Linked DNA regions of Ovis aries. The protein of the gene in region 1 purifies or fractionates together with the protein of each later gene. This does not show direct contact. Links are inferred from orthologs where the notes say so. Each region holds a gene or a part of one and is shown in the gene's direction. Other genes may lie near its edges.

Region 1 (7,558 bases):
TTGTGCCCTAAACCTCGGTCTCTGCAGCCTCCCAGGCTCAGGTTGGGGCCTCTGGTTGGAGACCCTGTGTCTCTCGACAGTTCAGGCGTGGGAGAGATGAGACCACCAGCCACGGTGGGCAGCGCTCTTCAAAGATCCTTGTGAGTCAGCTTGTCTGCAGGCCCCCGAGTCCTCTGCACACACGGGACAGGGTCCTGATCCCAAACTCCACCCCGACACCTGGAGGGAAATGGAGCTGTCCAGAGTGCTAGAATCGCTGAGCCTGGACAGAGCCCTTTCCAGCCCGAGGGGCTGTGCCCTACAGGCCTGGAGCACACAAGGGCTAGAGCCCCAGCTTTAGGAGGAGCCTGATCCAGGCCCAACAGGAGGGTGGTGGCTCCTCTGCCCTCCTCACGAGCTGGAGAGCAGACAGGGAGCGAGGCCTTTGGGCTGACCACCTGCTGTCTGCTGCAAACCCACCTTAAACTGGACCAGCCCCTCCCCCGGGCCAGTCCTCTGTTCACGTGCAAGTTCATTTATCCAAGTTGTTAATATTTTGACTCCTGATGGAATGTTAGGATCTGGGTATGGAAATATGGGTAAGAAGTATTTGTTAAACAAACGTATTTATGGGGCAGCTACCGTGTGCTTGAATGGTGCGAGAGCTGGAAAGGTGAACGGAGTATGCCTGTTGTCCTCCAGGGGCAGTAACTGGTTGGAGAGTCATTCACACGTATTTATTATGTGCCCAGAACCCAGCAAGTCATAAAGAAACGTCTCTTTATTGTTAATCGATGTGTGGTGCAGACAGGTGTAGAGGCTGGGCCCTAGATATATGTCATGTTATTCATATATTCAAGAGATCGTCTGGATGCTGACTGTAGGAGGGCAAGACAGTCGGGAGGCTGGCATTTGCAGTGACCAGAGAGAAAGGCGGCCAGCAGTGGTTGTGGACTAGAGACAGCGCGGAGGGGCGACAGAGCCATTTTGATGAAGTATTGTAGAGAAAAGCTGAAGTTTACACGCATAGGAGTTACACTGAGCCTTCAAAAGTTAATACAACATTTTCACCTAAAGGGCTTGTTAGAAAAGCTTCATGTTGCTTTCACACATTACTGGTGCACCATCAGAATCGCAACAGTCACTTTGCAGAGCTTTGGAGTACCAACCTAGGAGAGGTCCACCTCTGACGCTGCAGGTCTAAGAGAGGCCACTGCTACTGAATTGTGTGGTGCCCATGAAGCAATGCTTTAAGCATTTTACATGCTAATATGATATTTGTAAGTTGTATCTAAGTGCCTTGTTGTGATTTAGGAGATTGGGAATTTTTTGATCAACTTGCTATTTCTTTATCATTCTTCCTATTTAAAATAATGGAAAATTGGTGTCCCTTAGAATATTTGCAGAGATAATCTGACTTTTGAGGCACAGGAGTAATGGTGAAGAACTGACCAGCCTTAGTTTTGGATGAGATTTACACATGTGACTGGCGTGAGTTGCCATTTCCTCCTTTAGGGGATCTAACCCTCATCTCTTGGGTCTCCTGCATTGCTAGGTGGATTCCTTACCACTAGCACCACTTGGGAAGCCCAGACTTACACATACTTATCTTCTAAATTGGGCTTTCCAGGTGGCTTAGTGGTAAAGAATCCGCCTACAATTCAAGAGATGTGGGTTCGATCCCTGGGTCAGGAAGATCCCCTGGAGAAAGCAATGGCTACCTATTCCAGTATTCTTGACTGGGAAATCCCGCGGACAGAGGAGCCTGGCAGGCTACAGACCATGGGGTTGCAAAAAAAGTTGGACACGACTGAGTACTCATGCATCCATGCATCTTCTAAATTATTTAACTTCTCTTCTTCCACATCTTATAGTAAAACTGATGCTCCAGAACACAAATATTCTGTTATTTTGCATCCTCTCTGCATAGAATTGGGCTGTGCAGATTCCAGTTTGAAAAGTGTGTAGTATAGTACTTACAGTTGGTCAGAAAGATTAGGTGGAAAAACGAATTATCACTATAACTTCCAATAGCAACAAATTATTAAAAGCGGTTCCAAAAGTCTATTTTTCATTCTTTTTTTTTTTTTTTTGGTTGCGCCGGCTTGTGGGATCTTCATTTCCCCAACCAGGGATTGAACCCTGGCTCCAGCACTGAATACTAACCCCTGGATGGCTAGAGAATTCCCCAAAAGGATATTTTTAAAAGGATCTTAAAAGTGGTTTTGAAGAAGTCTTAAGGAGTTCTATTGAAGGTATTAGACACAAACCTCCTTGACAGTTTGGGAAGGGGCAACCTGGGGCCCAGAGGAGGGAGTCTGACAAGGGAATTCATTCCGGGCAGTGCGCCTTTCCTTTACCCATCAGAGAGCTCCGGCTGAGGATCCCGAGGCCTAGCCCCGCCCCCAGCGCTAGCCCCGCCCCGGCGCTAGCCCCGCCCCTACCCGGGCAGCCTGCGCACGTGCGCCCTGCCGGCACTGCGCACGCCCGCGGGGCGAGGGAAGGGGCGGGGCGAGCCGAGCCTGGAGGGTCTGCGCGGGGAGAGCATGGCCACGCTGCGCCGGCTGCGAGAGGTGCCCCGGCACCTGCTGGTCTGTGAGAAGTCCAACTTCGGCCATGACAAGTCGCGCCACCGGCATCTCGTGGAGACGCACTATTACAATTACAGGGTGAGTCCTGGCCCTCGGTCCGCGGATCGCGCACGCTCCCTCCCGCGGGCGCGGGAGGCTGGGGGAGAGCCGGGCTCTGCTCCGGGGGCCCGCCCTCGTCGCGTGGAGGGGCGGGGCCCTCGCTCGGCATGCTGGGAGCTGTAGTCTCTCCGTGGCTCCAGGCTCCTGTGTTGGCTCGCTTGAGGACCACAAGTCCCAGGGTGCACCGGTGCGGGGCGGTGCCCCGCCGTCGGAGGGCGGGGCAGGGTTCACGGGGCCTCTGGTCTCTTGCTGTGGCCTGGCCCCGCCCCAGGCGTGCTGCGTCCCTGGGGCGGGGCCGGAAGGCGGGGGCGGGGCCAGGACGGGCGGGGCGGCCGCCCTCCTTCCCTGCCGCTGGGTTCCTGCACCCGCGCGCCTCTCCGGAGCGGCCGGCCCAGTTCCGCCCGGGAGCTGCTTGCTCCTCTAAACCGCTTACGGGCGCTAGTTTGATCCCTGAAAAGCTCTTTCTTCTGCCCGCTGCTCTCCGCCTTGTCCATCCAGAGCGCCAGGGCGGCATTTGGGCAGCTTTTGGTAGAAATTCGCCTCGGCCGCCTTGCCCACAGCGATGTTTGCTGGTGTTCCCTGGAAGTGTCGCCCGCCCCGGGGCCCTTTTCGTGGCTGAGGCGTCAGTGGGGGTGGTTACTGGACCTTCCTGGGGAGGAGAAGCCCCCTGACTCCCGGGCAGTGTCTGCTGGGAAGGCTTCGCGGACCCGTGCAAGTGGGGAGGACTCCAGACTAGACCTTAAAATGGAAGCGCGTGAAGCCTCGCACGCTTTTAAGCTGATCAGCCTAATCTCAGCTCGGCCTCACTGGCCAGTGTCTCAGACACAAGTGGCGACCCCGGTTAGTGTCCCCGCTTTGGGAGAGTGGCCTTTTTCAAGGTGTGGAGCGGCCGGGCACCGCTTGAAACCTGTCGGGTTGAACGTCTCTGCTCTGGATGGATAACTCTTCACAGACAGCCGTCTGGGAGGTGCACTGTGTCCTCCCCAGCCCACGTGCAGAGCTTTTCCGTCGGGACAGTGGGAACACCAAGCTGACTTCTGCTTCCATGTGGCCTGTTAATAACCAGTATCCCCAAATTCCTTACGCCCTAAGGGACAGTTCCTCTGATTCCAGCCTGGTACCAGGATACACAGATCTGGGGATATTCACTTATACTTGGTGAGTCCCTAAGTCTAACCCTAACCCCGCCAGGCTCCTCTGTCCATGGGATTTCCCAGGCAAGAATACTGGAGTAGGTTGCCATTTCCTTTTCCAGGGGATCTTCCTGACCCAGGGATCAAACCTAGGTCTTTTGCATTGGCAGGCAGATTCTTTACCACTGCATTTCCCTAAAAATTAATTAATGTAGTGACAGGAACAGGTCATCAAATATATTGCTTATTTTCAAAAGATAAAACGCAAGCAAGAGTTTCCCATTAAAATTGTTTTTTTTCATTCAATTTCCTATACTGTGCACTTGAATTCAGAAATGGAAAACTTAACTTGTTGGATTTCTCTTTTCCTGAGATTAGTAAATTAATTTCAGACTTTTGCTGAAGGTTGTGGAGGAATGGTTAGTAGCCTTAATTATGTTGTATCATCACTAAATCCCGGGTGTTGATCTGCATGAAAATAAAACTTGTTGAAACCTATAATGGAGTATAATTTGCAAAAATGCTGAATCACATGCTGTATACATGAAACTAGTATAATACTGTAAGTCAACCATGCTTCTGTTATTAATATAAAAATAAGTTTTTTGTGTTGTATATTCCAATAGGTTTCATTTCTGATTCCTGAATGTGGGATACTATCAAAAGAACTGAAAGATCTGGTCATGGAATTTGGACCCTATTACTTTGTGAAGGATTTACCTCTTTATGAGTTAATCACACACGAATTCATCAATTCTTTTGTCAAGAAAGGTAAGAAAAACCTCATAGTGTCTGTGAACATGGTGGGATGCAGAAGGCCAGGGAGGCCACATCACACTTCCGGGGCTCCTGCCTTGTTCGAATCACGCGGATGGAGCGCGTCTGCGAGGTCAGGCGTGCGCAGCCCGCCCTCCGCCCCTCAGTAGCTCAGCCTGCTCTGTGCATCCCCAGGTTTGGTTTCTGATTCCACGGGTCCACACGCGTCCCGTGGGGGTGTTGTCACCCCAAGCTCGCGGAGAGGAAAAGCTTTCCGGCCCCGTGTTCAGATGCACTGCCGTCGGGCGTGGCCGCAAGAACCGCTGTGGTCCGCGCAGTGCCCACAACAGCCGTCTCAGCATGCTGGTCTCCTGATGGAGCCACACTGCCGTCTACACGGCCAGGTGCTGACGGGGGCCCAGCCTCTTCCGCTTGGACCCTGCGGCCCTCATCCCATCTGTGTCTGCTGGGTTGACTGTCTTGTTCCAGTTGCCTCCTGGGAGCCACTCGTTTGAAACCATTCCAGCGTCTTTAAGGATCCGCCCTCACTGCAGGCATCGCCGCACAGGAGCCACTGGCCTCTTGTCGTCGGTCTCAGCGACCCGATTCCTTTCGTTGGTTTTGAGCTGAGGACTTACCTGGCGGTCCGGTGGTTAGGACTTAAGGCTTTCACTGCCCAGGGCCTGGGTTCAATCCTTGCTCAGGGAACTAGATTGACACAAAATACATGGTGCAGCCAGAAAAAAAGCTTGATGCTCCAATTGCTAATGACGTGGGCCCGGGCACGGCAGGCACTTTTACCTGCGCGACTCGACGTCACCCAGCAACAACACTGTGAGATGGGCCTGCAGCCCCATTTTACAGGTGAGGAAATTGAGGCTCAGGGAGCCTGAGCGGCTCTCTTGACGTCGCACAAGCTCTTGGCAGGTTTGAGTCTCACCTGGAACTCGGCCTGGCTGGTGTGTGCGTCCCCTGCCCTTGCTCCCTGGGCCTGTCTGCAGCGTCCGCACAGCTGCACGCGTTTGCCGTGCCGTGGTAGTCGGCTTGCACAGACAGGCCCTGGGTGGGGACCTGGACAAGCAGTGCCTGGCCTCGCGTGTCCTCCACCTTCACTTTGGCTGGTTTAGGGTTATTGAGTGAGCAGGACCCATAACCTGGAGGATTGGTTATCATGTCAAACTAATCCACTAACTTTGCAGGTGTGATTTTTTTTTTCTGAATTTCTCCTCTGGGCTGTCTTTCAGGTTCGTGCTATGTGCTGACATACAACACAAATATTGACGAGGATAATACTGTTGCCCTGCTCCCAAATGGTAAGCACACTCGTTTTTCCTTCATTCTTAAGGAAATGCATACTGTGAAAAAGAAAAAGTCAAAATCATACAGGCGTGAGTAAAGTGATGGTCCACCCTTTCATCCAGCTCCCCTCAAACTCATTCCCGTTCTTAGCAGGAGCCCTTATTAGGAGGTAGGTATTTATTCTTCTAGACACATTCTATGAATTTAAAATCACACATACAGGTTGTTGCTTTTTTTAAATAAAACATATAGTATGTCACACTCTATTTAGTTTCTCAATTACCTTTTTTTCCCAAGGTCTGTTTCCCAGACATCTTTCCATATGGGTGCATACAGTTTTAATTTACTATTTTTAAAGTCTTGAAAATATCCCAAAGAAGAGTACCATAATTTGTTTATTCTTTCTTTAATAAAAAGACAATTTCTAGTTTCACTATAATAAAGAATGTCTTTGTACATGTACTTATAAATAATACTCTTGTTTATAAGTAAGATATATGTGGATAAATAATACACTTGTATTATAAAAAGATCTTTGTGTGCACTGGTATTTAACTGCTCAATTTGCCTTGCTTTCTCTTTGAGAACATGTTATATTTTTATTTTGTTTTATTTTTTAACACCAAAAACAGGAGAACGAATTATGTGTTTAATGTCTCTTTATGGGAATTATTATTTGATTTATAGGGAAATTAATTTTATCCCTGGATAAAGACACGTATGAAGAAACTGGACTTCAGGGCCGTCCGTCTCAGTATTCTGGCAGGAAAACCATGAGATTCAGTAAGTATGGTGCTCTCTCCATCAGTCTCTAAAAGGTGGTGCCTTCTGTAGCAGCTCGAGTTTTCCTGCTTGAACTGCTTCTGTTCTCTTTGGGCAGAAGCAGTGTGGCTTTGCCTCGTCTTTAAAATTCCTTATCAGAGAGGATCTCATACGACCGCATACGACTGTGAGATTCGACCGCGTCTCACAAAGGTCGTAGGCGGGGGCCTGGTCTGTTAGATGCCTGTGTTTCAGGTCACAGGTTCGAAGTAACGAAGCCAACTTGTTCTTCAGGTTTTAAGCTTTGTGTTGAAGGTGGCTGGTGCGCAGCGTCGTGTCAGAGCGGCTCGGTCACACCTGAATATGCGCTGTGTTTCGTGCTCTTCTCCACGACGGCTTATCACAGGATATCGACTGTAGTTCCCTGTGCTCGACAGTGGACCTTGTTTGCCCAGTCTGCATATACAAATTTGTATCTGCTCCAACTTGGTCTTAGCAAAGAATTCCCTTTAATTTTCCCAAGTGTTACGATTCCGGTAGAAGTCACCCGTGACTGAGGAGGTGTGGCTCTGCTCACCGTCTGCTTGCACGTCGGTGGTCACGGCTGCCCCCTGCACGGCTTGATTAGAGTTCATCTCTGCCCTTGGTATTTGGGAAAAGTGTGAATTTTAAACCCCTGTTGTGATTAGCGCAAGTCCTGAAATGCCCATCAAAAGCAGAGTTTTGATTTGGTAAACCAAAGGGAGGGCAAGGAGGACAAAGTGACTCTTTTCATCCATGAATTTTCCGAATCTCCTGATGTTTTTAATCCAGCATGTGTTGCGCGGTGCAGGCCGTGTGTGCATGAACTGTTAATTCCTCTCCGTTTTTTAAAGTTGTTTCCATTGATCTGATGGATTTATCCTCTAACCTGGACTCTAAGAAGTATAAGAGAGTATC
Region 2 (6,856 bases), on another chromosome or scaffold:
GAGGCTTTTTTAACAGAAAGTCTTGACTCTTTCCACGTTTCTGTCGTGGAGTGTGCGCCACAAATGCTCAACTTAGGCACCTTCCCAAGAGTTGAGCCCTCTACTCTCCTCCCAGCTGCGTCTGCCGGGTCCCCCTGTCCCCCTCCCCCGTTCCTCCCTGCCTCCCCCGGCGTGTCCTTCCTGGGCCTCGCTTCTCTCCCCGTTTCCTCTCCCACAGCGCTCCCCTCCCCTGCTATCCTTGCTCCTTCCCCTTCGTCTCTCTTGCTAACTGTCTAATGCATCTCTGCCTCTCCCTGCCCCACCCCCGCGCTTGGCCATCCAGCTCACAGGCCCCTCTCCCGCCCTTGGCTGCCCTCTGCCAACCTCGCTACCCTCGTTTACAGTGCCCCCGCCTCCCCGCCCCGCTTTCAATCTTTCCGCTCCCCTCCCCGTCCTCGTTCCCCGCTAAGCCCCGCCACTCCGCGGCCCGGCAGGAGAGCACAGCCGGCGGGCTGCGACGCGCGCTGACAGGGTAATGAATGGCTTCAGCGGTAATTAGCGACCCGGCGGCTAATCATGATGTACATTTACATTTTAAGTGCTGCAGAGGGAGCTGGAGAAGGGGAGGGGAGCGACGGGAGGGGACGCGGGCCGTTTCCGCAGCCTCCCTTCACCGATTGGGGAGCGAAGTGAACCGAGTCTTCTCCAGCTGGCGGCAGTGGAGGGGGATGGCGGTGCGAGGCTTTCCAGGCCAACCCGGGCGAATGCAGAACTGCCTCATCCTCAACAGACGTAAACGCGGAGCTCCCAGACCCCTTCCTCCAAACTGAAGACCCCCGATTAATCCCCTCCAAGTGAACGTTCAGCCTAGGCTTACATACCCCAGTGGATGGAGAGCTCTCTTCTTCCGTAACCAACCGGTTCGGACTTAGATTCCAGCGGTCTGGGGACTTCTCAGGCCTAACGAAACTGATGCCCGTTAAGGCCCACAACTGCCCCAGTTTTACAGAACCTGAGTACCCCTGAGCCTCGCCAAGTGCTGCAAATTCTTGTGTCTTCACCAGACTGCTGCCCTTCGACTCCTACGGCTGTTCCTCGGGGGGTAGGGGGTGGGGCCGCGGGAGCTGCGACAGGCCAGAAACACAGATTCCGAGCCGAAAGCGCCCTCCAGAGCCTCTCTCCCCAGCGTGCGAGCAGGAGATCCCAGAAGAGGATGGTCATTCATGTACTGGGGCTCAAAAGTCCACCTGCTCTCCAGTCACTCCCAAAGGGCCGTAGTGGAGTCAGTCCCGGGTTCCAAACAGCAGGGCCGAGCGCTAGGAGATACGAGTTACTGAGAAGGCGAAAGCAGCCTGGAGGAGAGGAGGGGGACCCCAGCAGCCCCGTCTCAAGACTCGGCACCAGCTCTCCCAGGCACTGGGATGACCCCAGCACTTCAAGGGCTTCCTGTCCGCCGCAGCTATCAGGGCTCCACCCCGCCACGCCCCATCGTAGTCACCCCTACCCGGATCAGGTCTGGCCCACCTTCAGTTCTGTGTGTCCCGCGAGGGGTGGAAGGATGAAGGACGAGGCCCTGGGGCAGTTCTAGGAAGAATACAGCTGTATTCTTCACAAACCCGCTCTCTCTCATCAGCAGTCCTTTAAAGCCCAATCTCATCTCTCCCTTCACTGTCCATCTCTCCTGGAAAGAGATCCCGGGCCACTCCCTCGGTCTTGCGGAGTTCCAGGGGAGGGGCACCCGGTAACTGTCCCTGAGATTTCCGTTTCCCAGCTACCTCCCTTCTCCCTCAAAACCTGCTTTTACCCAGCCTCTTTTCTGAAAAGGACCCCACTGGGTCCCAGGGGGCCCGGTTGACTAACAACAAATTCCACCTGAGAAGAAAGGGGATCCACGTGAGCAGAGGACAATATCTGGCTTACTCTAGGGCATGCAGTTCTAATACTCGACTTTCAGGCATGGATGGAGGGAGCTTAACTCCTCTTGAGAAGGGAGTCTCATTGTTCTCGTCCCATTCATCCCAGGGCACAGCCTGGCCCAGAGCCTCGGTTCGCAGAGCAGGGGTGTCTGGGAGCCTTCAGCTCCGGTCAGGCGCGGCAAGCCTGAGACCTCAGTTCTCCGGTTGTCCTGCGAGGACCATGCCGAGACATAGTCGTCGAGGGCAGACGCGGAGCGGAGACGGCGCCTACTACACTCTGCTGACAGCGTGCAGGCTGTCCTTCAGGCGAGAAGAGAGGCTCGGGAGCGAAGGGATGGGGTGGGGGTGGGGGTGTCGTTCCTCTAGGAGTGGGAGAAAGAGGTCCCAGTCCCCAGAAGGCCGCTTTGAAATCTCTCATTGGGAGCGGGCAAGGGGTGGGTGGCCTTCAGCTGAACCGCGGAAGGGCTCGGGGACCCGGCTTGAAGCTGAGTTTGCCCAGCAAATGCAGTTTTTATTTAGGTTGCAGGTTTATGAAGGTAGGCTCAGGGAGGGCTGATGGTGATTATAGGGAAACTTCAGCTGGCAGGTCACTCCTGGCACTGCCATGGCATCCCGCGATGCGCGCACCTCCCAAACCCGGATATCAGAGGACCAGAGTGGATGCGGGCGAATTGCTGGTGAGGCTGGGCGCGAGCTGGCAGGGCTGGGTAAGGGGCGGGGCCCGGCGGCAGGGGCGGGGCTCCCAGGCTCTGAGGCGGGGCCTCAGCTAAAGGCGCGTAGCACAGGGCGCCGAGATCGCCGAGTAGAGCAGCGCCCAGTGGAGAGAAGTGGAAGGCTAGGATCGCACCGTCCCAATCGGCCAGCCAGCGTCCACGCCGCTCCCGCACCCTTAACCCTGCCGGCCCTTGCGGGACGCGACCCACCGACATGCATTCCCGGGGCTGAGGCGGCCCGATGGCGAAGCCCGCGTCCCCGCAACGACGGCGCATGGAGAACTTCCGTAAGGTGCGCTCCGAGGAGGCGCCGGTGGGGAGCGGGGAAAAGGAGGGCGGCCCAGGCTCAGGCCCCTTCGCCGACCTGGCGCCGGGCGCCGTGCATATGCGGGTCAAGGAGGGCAGCAAGATCCGGAACCTGCTGGCCTTCGCCACTGCCAGCATGGCGCAGCCAGCCACGCGCGCCATCGTCTTCAGCGGCTGCGGTCGAGCCACCACCAAAACCGTCACGTGTGCCGAGATCCTTAAGCGCCGCCTGGCGGGTCTGCATCAGGTCACGCGGCTGCGCTACCAGAGCGTGCGCGAGCTGTGGCAGAGCCTCCCTCCGGAGCCCACACCGGGGCAGAAGCCTGGCGAGCCAGCCGCCAGTCTCAGTGTACTTAAGAACGTGCCCAGCCTCGCCATCCTACTTTCCAAGGATGCCCTGGATCCGCGCCAACCCGGGTACCAGCCGCCGAACCCCCATCCCGGCCCCTCGTCCCAGCCAACTGCTCCGACGTCCAAGAGGAGTCTAGGGGAACCTACTGCTGGAGAGAGCTCCGCGAAGAGGTCACAACCCGAGCCAGGTGCTGCTGAAGAGGACCAGACCGCCTGAGAACTCCGGCCTCTGGGCCACCTGGACGGGCTGAATCCTACGCTCGAGCTTCGACCTTGAGATGCATCTCTAGCCTTTCACGCCTTGGTACTCTGGAACCTACAACGTGGAAGCATAGACCCCAAGGCGACAAGGGGGGACCCCAGGGAAGCTTCGTGGTGGGGTTGCTCCTCCAGCTGTGTTGCCTGACGACACTTTCAGCTTTTCTGAACCATACGGGGACCTTCTTCAGGGAGGGAATGGTGGGCAATGGGATTCTTGAGCCTTTAACCCCAAGGGTTAAAGGTTCATGTAGGATTCTTGAAGTGGGCTACGAAGGTGGAAGCTGAGGAGAGCTCTTGAAACCACCCCACCATTGTCAGCAGAGGGCAAAGGGTTGGAAACCACTGCTTGAGGGCGGGGGATTTTGAGTGGCAAGGGGTAAGGGGCTATTCTGCTCCTCACCCCAGGACAGTTTCTAGTTTTCCTTTCCCTGCTTTTAAGGAGCATCCTGAGATCATGGTGGCAGGGGCGTCTCCATAGGCTCTTTTAACATCCCACTTTCCCCATGCTGGCCCAGAGGGAGAGACCCAGGACAGAACTCTCCATGCCGCCTCCCCTGAGCCCCACAGCTGGAGTCTTGCTTCCAATAAAACAAACACAAAAAAGGCTCTGTCCCTGGGTTTTTTCCTAACCACTAGCCTGTGTAGAGACTGCTCTGGTCTGCCCCCTTGTGTCTCAGTCCCCTCCAGCCTGGAATCCTTAGCTTTTGGAGTCTTATGGGTCAGGCACAGAAACTGGACAGCTTTGAAATGGTGCTGGGAGCACCTTACCCAGTGCCTGGTTCCTCCCTCTTTCTCAGCCCTCCCTGGCTAGCTCCAGTAGCTTCAGGGCTTGTGGACAGAAGGGGACCTTGGTCACCTTATGTGCTACCACTAAGGGAAAGGGAGCAGCATACTGCTTTTCTGGAAGGGGGAGGAAGGGAAGCATCAATGAACTATCCTGGGGGTCACTGCCAAGGGTGGCAGATCCAACTGGGCTCCCTAAGCCTGCAGCCTCCTGCCAATAAACAGCCCTACCAGACGGCTGGCCCAGAGCCCCCCAGCCCCATGGATAGAATCTACCCTTCACTGCTCGCTCGCTCTCTCTGAGAAAGGACAGCACACCCTTGGGAGAGGGGGAGGAGAGACTGAGCACAAATCCACTGCTGGAAATTACTATTCAGCAGAGAAGCTGGGACTTGGGCTGTGAATCACTGCAGGCTCCCTGATAAGCTGCTGCCTCTGGCCCTGCACAGCTGTCTGTTGAGAGATAACAGCCTTATAAGCCTTTCTGCCCAACTCCAAGTCAGGTGGGAGGGTGGAAGGAGTGCTGTGTACTGGAAGAACTCTAGCAAATATGAGGGGGAGGGGCATGTAGCTCCAAGATCATAGAAGCAGACCCTGTCCCCTTGCAACTTAACAGCATCCTTGGAAAGGAGGAGATGGGGAAATATGTAAGTCACTTTGTAGGCTAAAAGCTGAAATAAATCCTTCTGCTGGTAACAAGAGGTAGGTTTCTGCAGTTGATATAAGGGGCTCTTCAGGGAGTTCACCCTCACCCCCAGCTCTGCTTGAGCTTTGGATAGGTGGGCCTTGTCAAAGAGACTCTGGCACTGGCTGCTCTCCCTAATGGCTTGTTCTTGATGAGTCCCTAGGGAGAGCCAAGGGATTGGGGTGTGTGAGTCTGACTCTCTCAGGAGCAGCCCAGGAAGTGTGGAGAGAATGTAAACTGTCCTGACAACAAGGTTGCCCTGGGCTGGCACTGGGCATCCGCATCTGAATTTAAATGATCCAGCGCAGAAGAGGTCCTGCCTGGTAGAGTCTTAGGAGAGACTGCTCTTGGTTCTGGAAGAGGGTCAATTTTCCAAGATCGCTAGTGTCTAAAGTCCTGATTGCTGGGTCACCAGGACAATGCAAGCTTTCTCATTGAAGATGTCTTGGGTCAGGTGAGTCGCCTTCCAGCCTAGAAACTCACCCTGTGGTGTGGAGAGGAGAGGGGCATGTTCTTTCCCCACCTTCAGAGTGTTACCCTGCTCACATGGTGGACTGCGTTTCTGCCTCCCATGCTAGAAAGTGGGTTATGAAACTGGCTGTCTTTTCTGCACCTTTACTCCATCCCAGCAGCTTCAGTTCCCAGGATTTTGATAGGTGCTCACGGGTGCCAGTGGAACCCAGCATCCATGAATGAGCTCCCCACCCCTGCTTTACTAGATCTTCTTGCCCTTCTGACCCAAGTGGTGACAGATACCCTTATCCACCCTCAACTCCAAGGCTGAGGTGGGAACCTGAGAAGCACTGAAATAAGGCAGGGAGTGGCCACGGGAGCAACTCAGAGACAGCTCACTTCAAGAACTGACTCGTGGCAGAATGGGAGGGAGTGGGGAGTGCCTTGCCCCACTGTGAGACACCATCTTTCCAGTAGGACCTCTATCCAAGAGCTTTCTGGGCCCTCCTTTGGGGACACTTCCAGCTAGGGGTGGCAGTGAAGACTCACACCCCCAAAACTATCTGGTCACACAATCAGAATCCACTTGGGAACATAAATAAATATAATCTAAGGCCAGAGCATGTGGTTAAATGGGCAGTGGACCACCAACTGGGACTTCACTGTTGTGCCAGGTTCCAGTCTAAGCACAGAGTTGGGTGGGGAGTCGGGGGGAGAATCACAGTATAATCAGACACAGTTTCTGCTGCAAGGATATCCCGGTCTAGGGGAGAGGGAAAAGAAAGTCATGGCACAATGCAATAATAGTGGGAGAAGGGAGTTCTGAGAAGAGGCACTTAATTCACTCAGAGGTACTGATGGAGCTGGCTCTGCGGTGACCAGACAGAGTTAGCCAGCGGACGGGACTAGACAAGGAATTCCAGGCAGAGAGGTGATGGTGCATCTGGTGTTGAGGCAGCCACAAGTGTCTGAACAAAGCTCAGCCAAAGCAGGTGGGACTGGAATACCAGGTGGGAGCTGGGAGCCAGGTCACAAGGAGCCTCCCTGAAGAAAGTGGGGGAGGCAATGGTCTCTTTTCTCTTCATTATATTCCATTGGTCTTTTTTGGTATTGGTCTGTTTTCTTTTCATTATATTCCATTGTTATTTTTAAAAATATTTATTTACTTATTTGGCTTCCCAGGTGGCACTAGTGGTAAAGAACCCGCCTGCCAGTGCAGGAGGCATAAGAGACTCTGGTTTGGTCCCTGGGTTGGGAAGATCCCCTGGAGGAGGGCACAGCAACCCACTCCGGTATTCTTGCCTGGAGAATCCCATAGACAGAGGAACCTGATGGGCTACAGTCCATGGAGTTGCAGAGTCAGACACAACTGATTCGACTTAGCACAGCACAAAGCATTTACTTATTTA

Evidence for each region. The genes of interacting proteins can lie anywhere in the genome.
Region 2: the proteins of RPP40 (region 1) and RPP25 purify together in Homo sapiens (affinity purification with mass spectrometry; 3 studies listed by BioGRID and IntAct, counting the BioPlex papers as one, with this or other methods). This does not show direct contact. The link is inferred for Ovis aries from reciprocal best matches to the Homo sapiens genes RPP40 and RPP25.

Annotation. Positions count from the first base shown.
Region 1 is NC_056073.1:48,684,911-48,692,468, forward strand, and holds the start of RPP40 (ribonuclease P protein subunit p40), read left to right. Parts: upstream 1-2,497; 5' UTR 2,498-2,525; coding exon 2,526-2,648; intron 2,649-3,761; exon of another isoform or gene 3,762-3,827; intron 3,828-4,428; coding exon 4,429-4,573; intron 4,574-5,802; coding exon 5,803-5,871; intron 5,872-6,544; coding exon 6,545-6,640; intron 6,641-7,494; coding exon 7,495-7,558. UniProt on the Homo sapiens protein: Component of ribonuclease P, a ribonucleoprotein complex that generates mature tRNA molecules by cleaving their 5'-ends. Also a component of the MRP ribonuclease complex, which cleaves pre-rRNA sequences.
Region 2 is NC_056071.1:31,411,462-31,418,317, forward strand, and holds RPP25 (ribonuclease P protein subunit p25), read left to right. Parts: upstream 1-2,692; 5' UTR 2,693-2,849; coding exon 2,850-3,482; 3' UTR 3,483-4,131; downstream 4,132-6,856. UniProt on the Homo sapiens protein: Component of ribonuclease P, a ribonucleoprotein complex that generates mature tRNA molecules by cleaving their 5'-ends. Also a component of the MRP ribonuclease complex, which cleaves pre-rRNA sequences.